Ovis aries: one gene and its partner. Each later gene encodes a partner of the first gene's protein in a complex. Links are inferred from orthologs where the notes say so. Each region holds a gene or a part of one and is shown on either strand. Other genes may lie near its edges.

Region 1 (3,817 bases):
TCTTTGTCTCTCCTCGGGCTTTCTCTAGTTGCAGTTGAACAGGGGCTGCTGTTCAGTGCAGTGTGTGGGCTTTCTCACTGTGGTGACTTCCCTTGCAGAGCACAGGCTAGGCGGGCAGGCTTCAGTAGTTGCAGCATGCAGGCTTAGTAGTTGGGGCTCGTGGGCTTAGCTACTCTGGGACATGTGGAGTCTTCCTGGACTAGAGATTGAACTCCTGTCCTTTGCATTGGCAGGTGGATTCTTATCCACTGTCGGGAGGTCCAGAAATAGGCTTTGTTTTTACAGGTTTATAGGTTATGCTTCTTTCAGTAAGACCTTAAAGTGATAATCTAATTGAATGGAAAGTGTATGAAATTTGGAACCGTTATCTGGGATACTGTGTTTGGCTTCTTGGTCTACTCTGATTGTTGTGTAGTCTAGAGCAACAGTAATTTATCGTCTCCAAACATCAAATGGGTGTGAAAATCTAACCCCCAAGGATTGTTCTGAAGAGGTAATAAAATGATCTGGAAATTAATTCTGTATGCCTTATTTTTTATTAATTTTATAATATCTGTATGGTTTACTCCAGTGCTCGGTTGAGACAGAATAGATGAGCATTTATTTATCGTTTCAAAGAGAGTAAAGACTTCTGTGAAATGCTACTAGATTTGAGGAAATCTTATAGCCATGGTCTCAATAACACATAGTATTTTCAGTGAGGTTATAGTGAAAGTGGGAAATAGCTATTAACAGAAGGTTGAAGGTGCAATAGTTTGTTTTAGAAGTTCATAGTATTCAGGGGATGTTTCTGATGGCTGTATGAACTAACCTACCTTGGCATTCGGTAGGCAAGAAAGCAAGACTACTCCTGATGGTGAAGATAACGACGAAGTAGAAGAAGAGTTGGATGATGGGCCCTTGCTGGTTCCTCGAGTAAAAGTGGCAGAAGATGGGTCTATTATTTTGGATGAAGAAAGGTAAGTTAAGAGAGAGAGAGATTGTGGTTTTGAGAACAAATGAGTTTTGTCTAATGAGCAAGATTGAGTTTCTGTATTTCACACTGTCACGTTGACTGACGTTTATTTTTGCGTAATAGATGTTATAAATAGAAGGGTGGGTTATATTTGTTTATAATTTTTAGCAATTTTTTATAATTGTGTCCTTTATATGAGAAGATGGTACTGCTGACCTGCCACCCACTTATCTACTACCATTGTTTTACTAATTTTACTGGTAGTTGAAATGAGCTATTGAACTAATCACACGCTGTCCGCAACTAAGAATACATTTCAATGATTAATTCGGCCTTGATGTCAGTACTTATTAACTATTACCATATTCTGGTTGTGGTGTTAACTGTTGAAAATTCAGTGAAACATATTTTTTGGTTTTTAATTAACTTTCTGGTTTAATTTCTTAGTTATAACATTAAATTTCTCAAATTTGGCAGTATGAAACTTACTTCTCTTTTCAATGTGTGTTTCTTAAAAAAAGAAGATAAACTAGTTAGGGAAAAAAAAAAAAGAGGGATGGAAGTCTCCTTACAGTTTAATTAATAATTGTTTTACAGGATATAAATTCTATGATAAATGAAAATATAATGCTGTTAATAATAGCTGTTTATGCATGTTGTTTTCCACTATTTTGTGATGATGATTTTATTAAATTGTTAAAAGCATATTTAACTGCTTTGTGTGGAGGAATATAAAATGTAAATATAAAGTGTTTATATTTCTCAGTATCCCCTATTGGGTATTGCATGATAAGATATGTTAAATGTAGGAGACATACAGAAGTCAGTAAAAAACAGTTATTTAGTTGGCCCAGAGATATTTTACAGATTTATATTGCTGCTAAGGATTTTGAAATCAGGTTGGCATTAATTTTTGCTCCCTAGCAATCACATTTTAAATGAAAATTGGCAGATTCTTAGAAAATATGCATACTTCAAATGTATATTACTTTTTTGTTTTTTTGTGTTATACTTTTGATGTGGTTTTTGGCATGGTAAATTTCAGAATATAACTATTAAATCTCATTTACTGTTTGTTTCCTTGCATGTTTAGTGTGGATCTATTTAAAAATGTTTCTTTCAGTTTAACTGTAGAAGTTTTAAGGACAAAAGGTCCCTGTGTTGTTGAGGAAAATGACCCCATATTTGAGCGTGGTTCTACAACTACATATTCCAGCTTTAGGAAAAGCTACTACTCTAAACCATGGTCAAATAAAGGTAACTGATTTTCATTTTAAACTATGTAGATTATTTATTGGAAATGAAGTGAATTTGTTTCTTGGTTTCTGTGTTATACCAGGTATCCCCTGAGTAAAAAAAAATAAAATGCAAACCAGCTAGTTTTTTTCTCTAGCTAATTTTATTGGCACCTTTCCCCTGTCTCCCACCATAGAACTATGCCTCTGACTTTATCTTAGACATCTTTTTAGGGGTTAGCCTTATGATCATTTCAGGTGGAATATTCTTCATTGTCAAATCCTTGTGCAGCAAATATCATTTTAATGAAAAATTACCAATATTTTTAATGCTCATAATAATATTCTACCTCACTATTGTATAATACAGTCTTTAATGATAAAAAGTACATGTAAAAAAGTATATATTACCTACTGCATGTTGTTTGTTTTACTTAATTTTTATTGTAAAAATAATACAGTTTGTTTTGGGAAAAAATTCAGACACAACAGAGTAATACAGAATGAATTTCTGACTTCCCCAGTCCTGTTCTCTTGAGGCTAGTTCTGTTCTTGAGTATTTTTCTGGCTACTTTCCTTTCTTTTTTTTTTTTTTAACTTTTTTTTTTTTTTTAAATTTTAAAATCTTTAATTCTTACATGCGTTCCCAAACATGAACCCCCCTCCCACCTCCCTTACTTTCCTTTCATGTACACATCTTAGTTGCTTACATACCAGCAATATACTGGTTCTTTTTTTTTTTTTTTTTAATATGCTAGTTCTGACTGAAAGTTTTCTTCAAGGCACTTGAGACCAGATAGGCAGAATGCCTTTTCAGAAATTCCAGCTACTTTAGTATGAACATGCAAATTTCTTAAACCATATTTTTATATAAAAGTTTAAAGAAGGTGTTTTTAGATCCATGAGGCTTCTTGCAGTAAAATTGAACTATTTCTGTGTATGTGTTCATAGGTATATTTCTGTGATTAAAGATTTGATGGATTTTAATAAGAAACTTCAGTATTGTCAAATTTACTTTTAACTCAAAATATATACTTACGTAGGGCTTCCCCGGTGGCTCAGATGGTAAAAAAGTCTGCCTGCAATGCAGGAGACCCAGGTTTGATCCCAGGGTCGGGAGGATCCCGGAGAAGGAAATTGCAACCCACTCCAGTATTCTTGCCTGGGAAATCCCATGGACAGAGGAGCTTGGTGTGCTACAGTCCATGGGGTTGCAAAAAGTCAAACACGACTGAGCGACTTAACACCTTTATATACTTATGTAAGATTTTTTCCTCTGAAATATTTATAAGATTAATTCTCCATCTTTCTAAATCTTTTATTTTTACAGAGACAGATATGTTTTTTTTAGCCATCAGCATGGTAGGAACTGACTTTTCTATGATTGGACAGCTTTTTCCTCACAGAGCAAGAATAGAAATTAAGGTAAAGTAAACCCATTACATTTGTTGATTGAAAAGAGATTAAAAATTACTGTCTTTTAAACCTTTGGTTGAAATCTCAGTCCATCCTTTTTTACTACTGTTTCTGGTACATCTGTCCTTTATCATTCAAAAAGTAGTGTAGTATATTTCCCAGTCCTAAAATGAGTATTGTCTCTTTAACCCTCAGTATTATGTGTTCTTGT
Region 2 (4,590 bases), on another chromosome or scaffold:
TTCTAAAATCTGCTAATGCCAGAGACTGCCTGAAATTCTCCAAGATCAAACAGAGAAGCAGAAATTCCCCACATACTTTCAGCATGGGCTGTAATAACACCCGTCTGTTTTCTTGGAGTCAGAGGGACTGGCCACAGTTCTTTGTAACTTTAACTCAATTGTCTTATTTTTCAAACATAATTGATTCTAAAACTTTCAAGTGTTAAAAAACATTTATTTATTTATGTATTTATGCCACACCACATGGCTTGTGGAATCTTAGTTCCCTGACCAGGGATTGAACCTGGGCCCTCAGCAGTGAAGGCACAAAGTCCTAACTACTAGGCTACCAGGGAATTCCTGAAAACCTTTATTCTTGATGAGTGCAATTGGGATTTACTTATGAGAAAACACATCCTCTTTGCTGACACTTATGTTATATTCAAACATGACATACAAAATCTCTCATTTGTGAGCTTGGTTTCTGGAACATTACTAGAGGCACATTTTTGCTTGATTCTTTGATCTATACTATACCATGCCAGGAACTTCGGAGCTAGAATCTTGGAGCATCTTAAAGCTTAAGGTTTTAAAAACATCTCAATTTGCTTAAATTCTTCAGACTGCCAAGGGCCTCACTAACCTCCATAGTTTTTCTCTCCAACTCCCTTAGACATTTCTTGCCTAGTCTCTGGAAGCCTCCCAGGTTGTCACTCTGCAAAGAGAGGAAACAACGTGCTTGTAGGGAAGCTGCTTTGGAAAGAACACAATTTCCTGCTCTCTCAATACACTACTCTCCCTTTTAGGCCACAAATTTTGTACTATGGCCAGAATCAACATTTATTAAGGGTCCGTCTAGTCAAGGCTATGGTTTTTCCTGTGGTCATGTATGGATGTGAGAGTTGGACTGTGAAGAAAGCTGAGCGCTGAAGAATTGATGCTTTTGAACTGTGGTGTTGGAGAAGACTCTTGAGAGTCCCTTGGACTGCAAGGAGATCCAACCAGTCCATTCTAAAGGAGATCAGCCTGGGATTTCTTTGGAAGGAATGATGCTAAAGCTGAAACTCCAGTACTTTGGCCACCTCATGAGAAGAGTTGACTCATTGGAAAAGACTGATGCTGGGAGGGATTGGGGGCAGGAGGAGAAGGGGACGACAGAGGATGAGACGGCTGGATGGCATCACTGACTCGATAGACGTGAGTCCGAGTGAACTCCGGGAGTTGGTGATGGACAGGGAGGCATGGCGTGCTGCAATTCATGGGGTCGCAAAGAGTCGGACACGACTGAGCGACTGAACTGAACTGAATTGAGAAAAAGGAGAGTCGGCGATACCCTTGGCGCTTTAGAAAGAATTGTTTGTGGCTGGCAACAGTTTTTTGTTTGTTACGTGCGTCCACAGCGATAGAAAGCTCACTCAAGAGTAACCCCGAGCCTAGACGGCCAACCTCAAACTAAGTACAGATCGCGGGGAATCCGAAGAGACAGTCCAGACCAGGAACCTCCTTTCCTCGATCACGTTTCTACCCGAGTCCGCAGAGGAACGGACCGGAAGCCGCGGAGAAGGTACCTACAGTACGGCTGTTACGCTGGCCGGAAGAGGAAGGTGCAACCCTACAAGAGTCCGCTCCTACTTCCTGTTTCGGCACAGTTGCTGTTGTGGGCGGTAGGGTCGGTTAGCTGCTTGGGCTCTGGACCGCTTGTGCGATGCCGGGTGGAGGCCGCTGTCCCGATTGCGGCTCCGCTGAGCTAGTGGAAGACTCGCACTATTCCCAGAACCAGCTGGTGTGCTCCGACTGCGGCTGCGTGGTCACCGAGGGCGTTCTTACGACCACCTTCAGTGACGAGGGCAACCTTCGAGGTACCTGTGAGGGCTTTTCGGAGGCCATGGATACAGCCTGGGGCGATGGAGGGATTGACGTCAGATGCTTCTTATCTCTTGCCGTCTCCCTGTCTTGAGCACACTTAGATATGGGAGAAAACAGTGAAAGTGAACGAGTGAACTTCAGATCAGGGGCTGCCATTATCTGTTTTCTTAGCACCATATCTGTTACATGTAGTAAATGAAACAGAGAGAAACAAAGTTCCACTGAATTTACCTAATTTGCCTATTTGGAAGCATTATATCAATAGGTCAGTGTTGTGTGAATGTGGAAACTACTACTACCCCAAAGCAGTTTTGAAAATTAATTGGCAAAAACTTATTTTTCTTTTTTTCATTTGTGTTCAAAGTCCCTGACCAGTGCAGCCCTCAAAATCTACAGGCAGGAAAATTGCCTGAATTGAATGTACAGGAGGGGTGGCTGGAAATTTGGAACACTTGGAACTGCTTTAATGCTAGTCCTAATTTTCTAAAGCTTTCTGTGTATTTGGTACTGCTTGTGGTTATAGAAAACCAGATGGACGTTTTACCTGCAAAGATGAGCACCTTCTGTGAGCTGGGGAGCGGATACCTGATGATTTGGATTCTGCTCCCTGGTTTTGTGTGGTGGGAGGGCAGGGGTCCGTGAATAGAGACTAAACAAGCTATTTTTTGTCCATTGTCTTACAGAAGTAACATATTCTCGAAGCACCGGGGAAAACGAACAAGTTAGTCGAAGCCAGCAACGAGGTGAGAATCAACCTTTTATGACACAGTGGCTTTAAAGAAAATTCTCCTTATGGTCCAGCTCGTCTGCTTGTTTTTTCTGTTTTCAGCATTATTATGTAAAGGTAGAGAAGAAGAGAATGGTAAAAGGATTGAGGTGGTTCTAAGAGAGGTAGCAATTAGGTGGAAGGTTTAAGTCTGCTTGGGTATGTTTGAGGTAGATTCGAGGAACCCAGGTCAAAGCTTGGTCACAAATCAAACCAACTTCCAAAAGATGAGGCACTGAAGTGTTGACTTCTTTCCACAAATGTCTTTGTGCTTTTCAAATGGCCTTACCAAGTGTCACTCTTATCATTGTAGAAAGGTCCATTATTTGTGCATGTGGTATCTGAGGTGAGTTTAACAGAACTTGCTGGGAGCTCCTTTGACTCCTTCACGTATAGTATCATGTCATCTGCAAACATGATATGAAGTGACATTTTTACTTCTTTCTAATTTAGATTCCTTTTAGTTTTCCTCTCTGTTTGCTATGGCTAGACCTTCCAAAGCTATGTTGAATAAAAGTGACGAGTGTGGGCATCTTTGTCTTGTTCTTAATCTTATAGGAAATGCTTTCAGCTTTTCACCATTGAGTATGATGTTGCTGTGAGTTTGTCGTATATGACATTTATTATATGTTGTTCCCTCTAGACCCACATTCTGGAGATATTATTATTATTGTAAATGGATGTTGCATTTTATCAAAAACTTGTTCTGCATCTATTGAAATGATCAGGCTTATTCTCAGTTTGTTCATGTGGTGTATCACACTGATCTTTGCATCCCTGGGATAAACCCCACTCAATCCAGTTGTCTGATCCTGTTAACATATTGTTGGAAATGCCTCTAACTCCTGCCGTGGGTTTTCCTAGGTCTTCGCCGAGTGAGAGACCTCTGTCGAGTGCTGCAGCTGCCACCAACATTTGAGGACATGGCAGTTGCCTACTACCAACAGGCACACCAGCTCGCTGGCATCCGCACAGCCAGGCTGCAGAAGAAGGAGGTGCTGGCTGGTTGCTGCGTCCTAATCACCTGCCGGCAGCGTAACTGGCCCCTGACCATGGGGACCATCTGCACCCTGCTGTATGCAGATCTGGATGTGTTTTCTGGAACCTACATGCAGATAGTGAAGCTCCTGGGGCTGGATGTGCCATCTCTGTGCTTGGTGGATCTAGTAAAGACCTACTGTAGCAGGTACCTGCCTGGGGGAGACACGGGGGTGGCATGGGTTCAGACCCGAATCCTTTTACTTCCAGCTGTCTCTTTTTGAGCAAGTCCATTCTACGAGGATGGACTTCTCCTCCTATGCCTGGCGCTGGTCGGGTGAATCCCATTTTACGTTTCTAGAATGTTGAATCATTTTCAAACCCCTTCGCTGTCATAGCAGCCTGATGCTGTAGGAGGGTTAAGTATCAGCTTTGGCACGGGGCTTCTGGGTTCTACCACTCAGGCCTGCTTGACTAGATGCCACAGCCCTGCCTCAGCAGGATCACGTTGTGTGTGATTAGAGCTGAAAGAGTATGAGCAAACTGACAGAGCTGGAGTTAGAAGGTAATTTTTTTATTTAATAAGTAGCTGTGTTCTTTTCTTTTTGTTCTGACAAATATGGTAGAAAGCAAAGGCAGTCAGTGTCGAATGACCTTGAGTTTGAAGCTTGGTCACTTCTACGCTGGATGACTGTGGGCAAGTTTTTCGACTCTTAAATGTACATAACAGGCTGTTGAGTAGATTAGAGAACATCTTGTAAAGCACTCACTCAGAATGAGGGCTGATGCTGGGGGCGGGCGGGGTTGTCGGTAGACATTAGTGCCCTTCCGCACTCTCTCGCCCTTCGCCTCTCCTGCAGGAGACTCTCCCTGACTTCTCTTGGTACCTGAATAAAGTTGCTACCCAGCAGGCTTGTGTGTTCCCGAAAGACTAGCATAGCTTGCCTATCTTCTGCGCTTTGGAAGAGCTGTCTCCCTGAGGTACTGAGACCAGACCCTCA

What was found.
Region 2: BDP1 (region 1) and BRF2 share a complex: the UniProt entries of both Homo sapiens proteins name them as parts of the TFIIIB complex. The link is inferred for Ovis aries from reciprocal best matches to the Homo sapiens genes BDP1 and BRF2.

Annotation. Positions count from the first base shown.
Region 1 is NC_056069.1:10,198,201-10,202,017, reverse strand, and holds part of BDP1 (transcription factor TFIIIB component B'' homolog), read left to right. Parts: intron 1-830; coding exon 831-959; intron 960-2,078; coding exon 2,079-2,212; intron 2,213-3,520; coding exon 3,521-3,615; intron 3,616-3,817. UniProt on the Homo sapiens protein: General activator of RNA polymerase III transcription. Requires for transcription from all three types of polymerase III promoters. Requires for transcription of genes with internal promoter elements and with promoter elements upstream of the initiation site.
Region 2 is NC_056079.1:32,198,909-32,203,498, reverse strand, and holds the start of BRF2 (transcription factor IIIB 50 kDa subunit), read left to right. Parts: upstream 1-1,624; 5' UTR 1,625-1,684; coding exon 1,685-1,838; intron 1,839-2,528; coding exon 2,529-2,588; intron 2,589-3,475; coding exon 3,476-3,797; intron 3,798-4,590. UniProt on the Homo sapiens protein: General activator of RNA polymerase III transcription. Factor exclusively required for RNA polymerase III transcription of genes with promoter elements upstream of the initiation sites.